Linked DNA regions of Sus scrofa. The protein of the gene in region 1 binds, or shares a complex with, the protein of each later gene. Links are inferred from orthologs where the notes say so. Each region holds a gene or a part of one and is shown on either strand. Other genes may lie near its edges.

Region 1 (4,217 bases):
CTGTGGCATATTGAGGTTCCCAGGCTAGGGGTGGAATCAGAGCTGCAGCCGCCAGCCTACGCCACAGCCACAGCAACGTGGGATCCGAGCCACGTCTGTGAACTACACCACAGCTCTCGGCAATGCTGGATCCCAAATCCACTGAGCGAGGCCAGGGATTGAACCCGTGACCTCATGGTTACTAGTTGGATTCATTTCTATTGCGCCACAATGGGAACTCCCATTATTGACTTTTAATGACAATTCAAATGAGTGTGGTGCTGACCAGCATGTGGAAAAGTACACTCACAAGCTTGAAGGGAAGAGACTGACAGCTTAAGCTAGTAGTCCATCTGGATCATCATCAAAGAGGCAAGAGACATTTGCAGGTATTTGTACAGAACAAAAACAGCTGCTGAGAATGAGACAAAGCCTTTGGAAAGAGTCTCACTTTCTTTAAAACATTTTATACATACTGATCTTTCCATCACTGAAACTGATGAGACTGAACTACTCTAGTAAATTATGTTTTGTTTTCACTTTTATTTTTTCCCAAACCAAAACAATAAAAAACAAGCAATTCCTTTTCTCAAGGAAAAGTCTTTTCATGTTGTCTTTAGAATTAAGCTCAACAGACCAAAATTTAATAACTACCATATGGTCAAGCATATACAGGAAGGAAGTGATAAAATGATGTCTGAGGCAAAAATCATGCTTTGATACTTCTTTAAAGGGAAATGATGGCTGAACAGTCAAAATTCACCTTGATAATCCAAATACAAATGGAATCATGATCTCAATTTCATTTGAAAATACTTTTCTGTGATTGTTAGTAATCTAGTCATGTCACTACTCTAGCAGAGTTCCCTATACCAAAAGTTAGAGGTGGTTCTTTACCAAAGGATAAATTATATTAAGATATATGATTAATTATATTAATATATATGACCACTGTTTTTTAACTGCATACTGTGACCTGTAATAAAGGCCTACTTTAGACTTAGGAAAGTTACATTCCTATAACTGAACATTTACAAGTCTCCTTTCTTTGTCCTTATTCATAATTATATAACCTCACTAGCATTTAAAAAAATGGGCACTCTTCCTTATTAAAAGAACCAAAATCTCTCCTACACTTCATAAAATGTGATTAAAGTTTAAAAAAAATATGACTAAGCAATCCCCTTAGAAGTACTCCTTGACTGAAATATTTCTAAGTGAGTAAAATAGGTTTCTTATAGTTTTTTTTTTGTTTTGTTTTTTAGAGAGGGTTGATGATTTTTATTTTATTTGAGGATGTGATTTTTGGTACATCCTTACTATCCTATACCCATCAACTGAAAATGTGTGTCTTGGCAAGTGGCAACCACTCACAATGGTAAACAGAGATTACTGAGACTTGTGGGGTGTGTTGGCCCAACTCAGTCATGCACATCCAACTTTCCAAAGCACTGTGGTCAACACTCTCGATGGATGAAGGGCCACATCCCCTCATTCTAACTCAAAGTTTTGTGTTTTCCTCAATTTCTATTTGGCTTTGCCAACAGCAGTATATAAAAACAGAAGCCAATGCCATGGGGCTCCTTCCAAGTCAGGAGTTAACCTCTGTCTCCTCACTTACAAAACAGTGTGGTTAAATTCATGAATGAAATGTGAACTTTCTAGAAAACACCCTTTAGTCTGAGATCACACTCAGGTGCTTTTTCTCGAGGGCAATGTGACCGGGGTCTTTCCCCAATCCTGGCTATTTTCTGAAGAAAGCACCAATTTCTTCATCACTGGCTACTTCTCCCTGTTCTTTGAAGCCATAAGCACAGAGCACATATGACTCTTCATAGCAGAAGAAGTAACTCGCCCACACATATGAGCCAACCCCAAACCCAGAGATACTGTTGAAACTTGATTTTCTTCTCATTCTCCTTCCTAAAACCTTAAAATCTTAAAAATAATTTCTTTGCATCATTACTGTATTGTGGACTATTAAAAAATCAAAGTCTAAAAACTTCCTGGTTTCTGTCTTTTTTCATAAGGTACCTCTAGACACAAGCCTTATACAGTTCGTACTTCCTTGGGTTAATCTGACTACAGAGCCAGAAAGAGAAATAATTCCAGCCCATGTGGCCAAAGACGCAGCACCCAAATGAAAAGAACATAGCCAGGCATCAGCTTACAGCCACTCCCATTCTTCTAAAATGTCAACCTGCCAGGGCCCCCAAAATAGACTTGTTGTTGTGCCTTATTTTAAAAATTAGAGATATTCTTGTTTAAATTCTGAGAGAGCGGCCAACAAATTTCTGTCACGAACAATCCAAAACATTAATAAAACAGAAAGCCTAAAGTCACTAAAAATACTGCTAGGTTTCTGAAATCCCTCAACTAGAAAAATAGATTATAAGTGGTTAAAAACCCTTTATCAGCAAAAATGACCACTGTGTTTAAATTGCTCTTTTTCAAAACCAACTTCTTTCCTTATTCTTTTTGTTCATTTCTCTACATGTCCCACCCCCACATTCTTAACACATACTACAGTAAAGGGGTTTTCAAAAATTAGAACAGCAAAAACAAACAATAAGAATAAAATAGGTTTCTTACCTACAAGAGCCTAGGGCAAGCATGGAGATAGGTCCTCTGACTATACCTGGTAACAGGTGGTGGTCTCAAAGTGTTAATCAAACTGACCTTGAACGACTTCAGGAGTCAATACCGAGTCAGACTCCAGTTTGAGCTTCAGCCTCAACCCCCAATAAGAAGTTTTATTCAGATCGTTTATTTCCACTGAGCAATAGTGGTTTCTTTTCGCTCTCTCTGGACATGGTTACCCATAGATGGAACAGGCTGCTGTGTGAGCAATCTGCTCGGTGCAGCTGCTTCACCAAGATAAGCAGACACAACGTCTGCCCTGTGACAGCAGCTCAGCAGACTAGGCTTGGGCGGAAATCCTGCATCCTATCCCCTGTGCTGTGCAGGGTCCTGAATTCCCAGACTGCTGCCCAAGAGCAACAGGCAATGGAACTGGAGGTCTGCTCCTCAGGCAGGAAAAGGAGGGAGTTCCCTTCCCCCTCAGCCTCCACCAATGACCTAATACCACCATTTGGGATGCTGGGCCACTGGCTCAGAATGATACTTACAGCTGTTCATGAAACTACTCTGACTCTAAATTTGCTCAGGACAGAGACTAGAATGATAGGAAAAGAAAGGAGTTTCAGGCTTGATATTAAAATACACTTTTTCAACAATGTTTGTTGTGGTTCTCCAGAAAAAGGACTAAACCATGTGAATAAAAACATCTGCTAAATTCCTTTATCATTGTAGAACACCTGGGATCTAGCTGCTGTTTTCCAGGTTAGGAAAGTCACAATTGCTCCAGTGTGACAGACAGAGCATTTATAGGCTTTAAGCAATTAAGCCAGGAGTTTAGGATACAGGAAGCAGAATCTGTCCAACCCTGAGATGACGTGCCTCTCTGAGTGGTGCTGACTAGTAACCTGGCAACCTATCTAATGAATACAAGCCTTCTAAACAAAAAAGACCTATATTTTTACCAGCATATCACAGAGACTCTTAAGGGAATTTGCTTCTCGACCAGTTGATTTTATTTTCTGCTGTGCTTACCTGTTGTGGCCCAGATCCCAGGACAGGCGAAATAATCTTCTCTGGCTCCTCCCTTCCAGCAACGCATCCTGTAAGGTTCTCAGAGGCTTCTCTGCAAACACTGCCCATTGGTGGGGTCTCCGCAGGCTGGACAGCATGCGCCTTCCCTGGAGAAGCACTCTCTAGCTGTTCAGTCTCTGGGCCTGACTCGGAAGGACTGGACAGGAACACATGACTGATCTTCCCCTCTGTCATCAGTGCTCCCGAGGCCTTGACTCGCTCTATGACAGCATCCACTATACGACTAGCAGCCTCCTCGATAGAGCCTGCTTTCTCAGGCGGCAGCGCAACTTCAGCAGAGACAGCGCAGAGCACAGGGACAGCACCCCTTTCCCTGCCTTGGGCCTGGTCACCACGGCCTGGGGGCCCTGTCTCTGTGGGGGGATCTTTGGCAACAGGCTGCAGCGGGATGTGATACGCTTCCTCACCCCTCTGTGCCTCCTTGGAGTCGCCCAGACTACAGCTGCCACCTGCTCCCTCCACCTTCCCCTTCTCCCGGCCCAGTGGTTCCAGCTCTGGGATTGCGGTGTCCTCAAGACCAGTCACACCTTTGTCTAGTAAAGCTCCTGGCACACCCAGGATCATAT
Region 2 (4,796 bases), on another chromosome or scaffold:
ATCCAGGGTTGTCTAAGCCTCCATACTATTGACATTTGGGGCTGAATCATTCTTTGAGGTGGGGCTGTCTTGCGTACAGTAGAATGCCGAGCAGCATCATTCTGCTGCTCAACCCAGTAGATGCCAGTCGCACCCCTAGTTGTGATAACCAACCAAAAATGTCTCTGAATGTTGCCAGATGTCCCCAAAAGTTGGGTGGTGGTGGTAAAATCCCTTCCTCCATTGAGAACTGAAGCTGTCACCTCTTGAGCCCCAGTTTCCTCACCTATAAAGTGGGGGAGAATTATGACAGCTGCTCAGGATAATGTGAGGGGTCGGTAGAATCCTGGGAGGGATATTTTTTGGCTAGAAGTAAATTCTCCCCGGGGTCAGCTGCCTTGGAAGTTGGTCAGGATCCAACCATGACTTTCCTCATCTCTGAAATGGGTTCTCACAGTGGCAGCAGATAATGTACATGGAGCTCTTTGCACTATGCTTGACACCTAGCCAGTGCTCAGATTCTAGGCATTCCTGTTGGAAATCCCAGTTCTGCCTCCTGCTGGCTGAGGGGCCTTGGGCAAGTTATGTCACCATTCCAGGCCTCAGTTTCCTCATCTTGAAAATGGGGCGATAGGAATTCCCACTGTGGTGCAACAGGATTGGCAGTATCTCTGCAGCTCCAGGATATAGGTTTGATCCCCAGCCTGGCACAGGATCCAGCGTTGCCACAGTTACAGCATAAGGCTCAGATCTGATCCCTGGCCTAGGAACTCCACATGCTGTGAGGTGCCCCCTCCAAAAAAAGGAAAAAAGAAGATGGGATGATAATAGCACCTGCTTCCTGGAGTTGCATTAGTCGACCTGGGTGCAATTGTAGTAACTGTCACCATTCTTAATAGTCATACTTGAGTTTTAGTGAGCCCCTGGTTTGGGGACACCCTCACCTCAATCCTCCAGTGCTGTCCCCTCACAATGTGGGCCTTGAGGAGGTGCCGCTGGGCTGGCTGGGCCTCCTAAGCCTCCAAGGTGTGGTCAGCAGCAGCGGGCGACCGAGCTGAGAAGCCGGAAGTTGGGACAGGCTGTGTCTGCAGGAAGGGGGCTGGGCTGCTCACATAAGCACTCTTGAGTGTTTGCGTATAATGTACACAGGGGCAGGCGTGGGGGTGTGCACACACTCGTCAGCCTGTGATCTGTGCACACCCCTATGGGTACACGAGGGTGCGAGCCCACCCAGGTCAGCCCCTGGAGCCTGTACACATGGGGGAGGCTGCTCTTTGTGTCCACACTAGTGGGCTTGTGAGTGTGTGTATTCTGTGTACACCTTGGGTCTCCTCTCGGTTCAGGGAGTTGGGGCCATTCCTGGGATGCCTCCAGAGAAGCAGGCTCAGCCCTGGAGTGGGGGCTGGGAGGAAGGCCCTCTAGATGCCCCAGAGCCCCAGAGCCGGCCTGTCGCGGGGGTTGCTGGGAGCTAGCAGGAAAGAGGAAGTGGCAGGCGAGAGGCCCTGGCAAGGCTGAGGTTCAGGAAGAGGGCGGGGCCCTCAGCCGGGACCCAGGATGGCGGAGGCTGGTCCCCCTTTGGACCGGGAGCTGGAGGTGGGGGCTGGGGTCCTTATGGGGTGGTTGGCAGAAGAGGACCCCAAGCAGCACGGGCCAGAGGCCCTGCCCTTGGCTCTGGGTTTTGGACTGAGGGGAGGAGATGGGGCGCTGGCCTTGGAGTTTTCTGTTTGAAAGATAAAAGTATCGGGGGGCCCTTTGGGTCTTCCAGGTTGGAGAGACAGAGGAGAAAGAGGACAGGGCTCTGCTCTTTAGGGTCCTGGTTGTAGAGAATGAAAGGAGGGGAGACAGGGCCTGTCTCTTAGTTTGGGGGTACAAGAGAAGGGAAGACGAGGCCTGTCCCTCAGCATCTAGTTTGACGGCACAGCAGTGAGGAGTGGAGGCCTGCTCTTGAGACCCCAACTTTATGGTTTTGGGGGGCACCAGAGGCCTGCCCTTGATACTTCCTTGTTTGGGGAGCAACAGAGGGAAGATGAAACCCGCTTTCAGGACCTCTTACTTTGGGGGATAGGGGAGTAGAGATGGGGCCTATCTCCAGTTTGGGGGGCAGCAAAAGGGGAAAAGGATCTGCCCTCAGGACTGTGTCACTTGGGGGGACAGCATAAGGGAGATGAGGTCTGTCCCTGGAACCCTCTAATTTGAGAGGACAAGGGAAGGGCAATAGTACCTGTCCTCAGGGAACCCCCAACATGGGGGACACAGTGGTGGAGTGATGGGGCTTGTCTTCCAGAGTTTCACTGCATAGGAACAGATGAAGGGAGACAGAACTATACCCATAGGCGAGGGGACAGGGAAGGAAGAAGGCCCTGCCCTGGGGACACCACAGTTTGGTGATGTCAGTAAGCAGGGACAGCGTCTTGTCTCACTTCCCAGTTTTGGTGGCGGTGAGGGGTGGTCAGAGAACATGGAGCTGGCCCTGTGTCAGGAGTCCCACCCTGAGAGGAGGCCAAGCCAGGTTGGCTGAGTATGGTCTGCACCCCAGAGTCCTCCTGGTCCCCACTGACCCCACTCTGTCTTCCGTCCCCCCTGCAGAGTGAGCCCCGCAGCTGGTCCCTGCTGGAGCAGCTGGGCCTGGCGGGTGCCGACCTGGCGGCCCCCGGGGTGCAGCAGCAGCTGGAGCTGGAGCGGGAACGGCTGCGGCGGGAGATCCGCAAGGAGCTGAAGCTGAAGGAGGGAGCTGAGAATCTGCGTCGGGCTACTACCGACCTGGGCCGCAGCCTGGGTCCTGTGGAGCTTGTGCTGCGTGGCTCCTCACGCAGGCTTGACCTGCTGCACCAGCAGCTGCAGGAGCTGCATGCCCATGTGGTGCTGCCTGACCCCGCAGCCACTGCCCATGGTGAGCCAGGCTTTCCCAGGGATGCGGGACTGTGGGGGTTCCAGGGCTCACCCATCACTACTGACCCCCAGGGAAACACACTCATGACAGCTCTATCTCAGAATACAACCAGAAAAGAAGCCAAAACCAACACCCAGAGAAAGGTACACACAGGTACACCCACACCTTGGCAACACCCAAAGGATTTACACCCACATGAGTATCTAGACTCACATGGTCACACACCACTTGGACAACCCCCAAAGACTTGTTCACATAACAGGAATTCCTCTGGGGCTCAGTGGGTTAAGGATCCGATGTAGTCACTGCAGTGGCTCTGGTTACTGTAGTAGCATGGGTTCGATCCCTGACCTGGAACTTCCACATACTGCGAGTGCAGCCCCCAAAACCCCCAAATAACAGAAAATGCATCATTTTGAAGGTTATAGTTCAATGATGTTGAGAAGACGCACATTATTGTGCAAAGGATCTGCACAACGTTTGCATCTCGTGACCAAAGACCCTTAAACTCATCACATCAGGAGCCAGTGACCCTCTCACACAGTCATGCCAGCACCTGTCTTAATGTATGAATATCCAGAGACTCTCATAGACTCACCACAACACCCAGAAACTTCCATACCACCACCCAGCACCTAGAGAAATACATAGTCACACGAACAACACCCAGAGACTTAGACATGTTCACACCAACCCCCAGAGAGTCACACTTACACAGATCTGCCCAGTCCTTAAGATGTTCTCCAATCCATCAACAGCCCAAAACTTACATACGCAATCAGACAAGACTCAACACCACTTACCTCAACACACCTACACTGCCTAGATGACAGCTGAAAACCAACACTGTCACATCAACACTCTGAGATAGAGTTCAGCCAGCACCCAAAACTTCATCCAGTCACAGCTGTACCCAGAGTCCCCCGCATAGTCACAATACTGTCTAGAGCCTGACACAGATCTCTGTCAGCATCCAGAGACACGCATGTCTGACTGTACCAACACCCGGACACTTGGACACAGTGGTCCCAGTGCCAGGAAATCTGAACATGCCGTTGTGCCGACAGTCGGAATCATATGCATAAAGTCACCCCAGCACCCAGAGCCTCACACAGTCACTCCAACACCTCACATCTCACAGTTACACTAGCACCTGGGGTGACACATATGCTCAGTTATGCCAACACCCTTCGGGTCACAGACATAAGCATAGCCACACCCATGGACAGCCACACAGCCATGTACATAGTTGGGGGCTTCTGTACAAAGGTATGTATAGTCACACCAACACCAGGCACTCATGCACCCCTGGACACTTGCCCATGCTCATTCATGCTGGTCCTATCCCAGCGCTGAGAGGGTTTCCTGTGACCGATGGTGTGGTTGGGTCCCCTGGCCCCCAGTTCTTTCTCCTCCCGGCCCTCCCGGGTGGGTTCTCTCAGCTGGGGCAAAGCTTCCTGGGCAGATGGAGGTGAGGGCCATGGTGACTCTGTCCCACCCACCCCCTCCAGATGCCCCCCAGTCCCCCGGTGCAGGTGGCCCAACCTGCTCAGCCACCAACCTGAGCCTCGTGGCTGGCTTGGAGAAGCAGCTGGCCATCGAGCTGAAGGTGAAGCAGGGGGCGGAAAACATGATCCAGACGTACAGCAACGGCAGCACCAAGGTGGGGGCAGCACGAGTGAACACACCCCTGTGTGCACATACGCCTGGAGCACATCACACAGTGAGGGGGTTTGGGGGGGTACCTACATGTCCCCCATGGGAGGTTTGGGCCCTCTGGGTTGGGAACAGAGGGACTGATGAATGACTGAGTGGCAGAACTGGGGTGCAGGCAGCTCATGGTGGTATGTGGGAAACAGAGTGACTGGGTGATGTCAGACAGACACACAGCAGTTAGCCCTGGAGACCCAGCAGCCTCTGTGGACAG

Evidence for each region. The genes of interacting proteins can lie anywhere in the genome.
Region 2: AKAP13 (region 1) and PKN1 share a complex: the UniProt entries of both Homo sapiens proteins name them as parts of the signaling complex. The link is inferred for Sus scrofa from reciprocal best matches to the Homo sapiens genes AKAP13 and PKN1.

The regions. Positions count from the first base shown.
Region 1 is NC_010449.5:88,070,366-88,074,582, reverse strand, and holds part of AKAP13 (A-kinase anchor protein 13), read right to left. Parts: coding exon 3,599-4,217; intron 1-3,598. UniProt on the Homo sapiens protein: Scaffold protein that plays an important role in assembling signaling complexes downstream of several types of G protein-coupled receptors.
Region 2 is NC_010444.4:64,817,847-64,822,642, reverse strand, and holds the start of PKN1 (serine/threonine-protein kinase N1), read left to right. Parts: upstream 1-1,459; 5' UTR 1,460-1,533; coding exon 1,534-1,572; intron 1,573-2,565; coding exon 2,566-2,869; intron 2,870-4,380; coding exon 4,381-4,532; intron 4,533-4,796. UniProt on the Homo sapiens protein: PKC-related serine/threonine-protein kinase involved in various processes such as regulation of the intermediate filaments of the actin cytoskeleton, cell migration, tumor cell invasion and transcription regulation.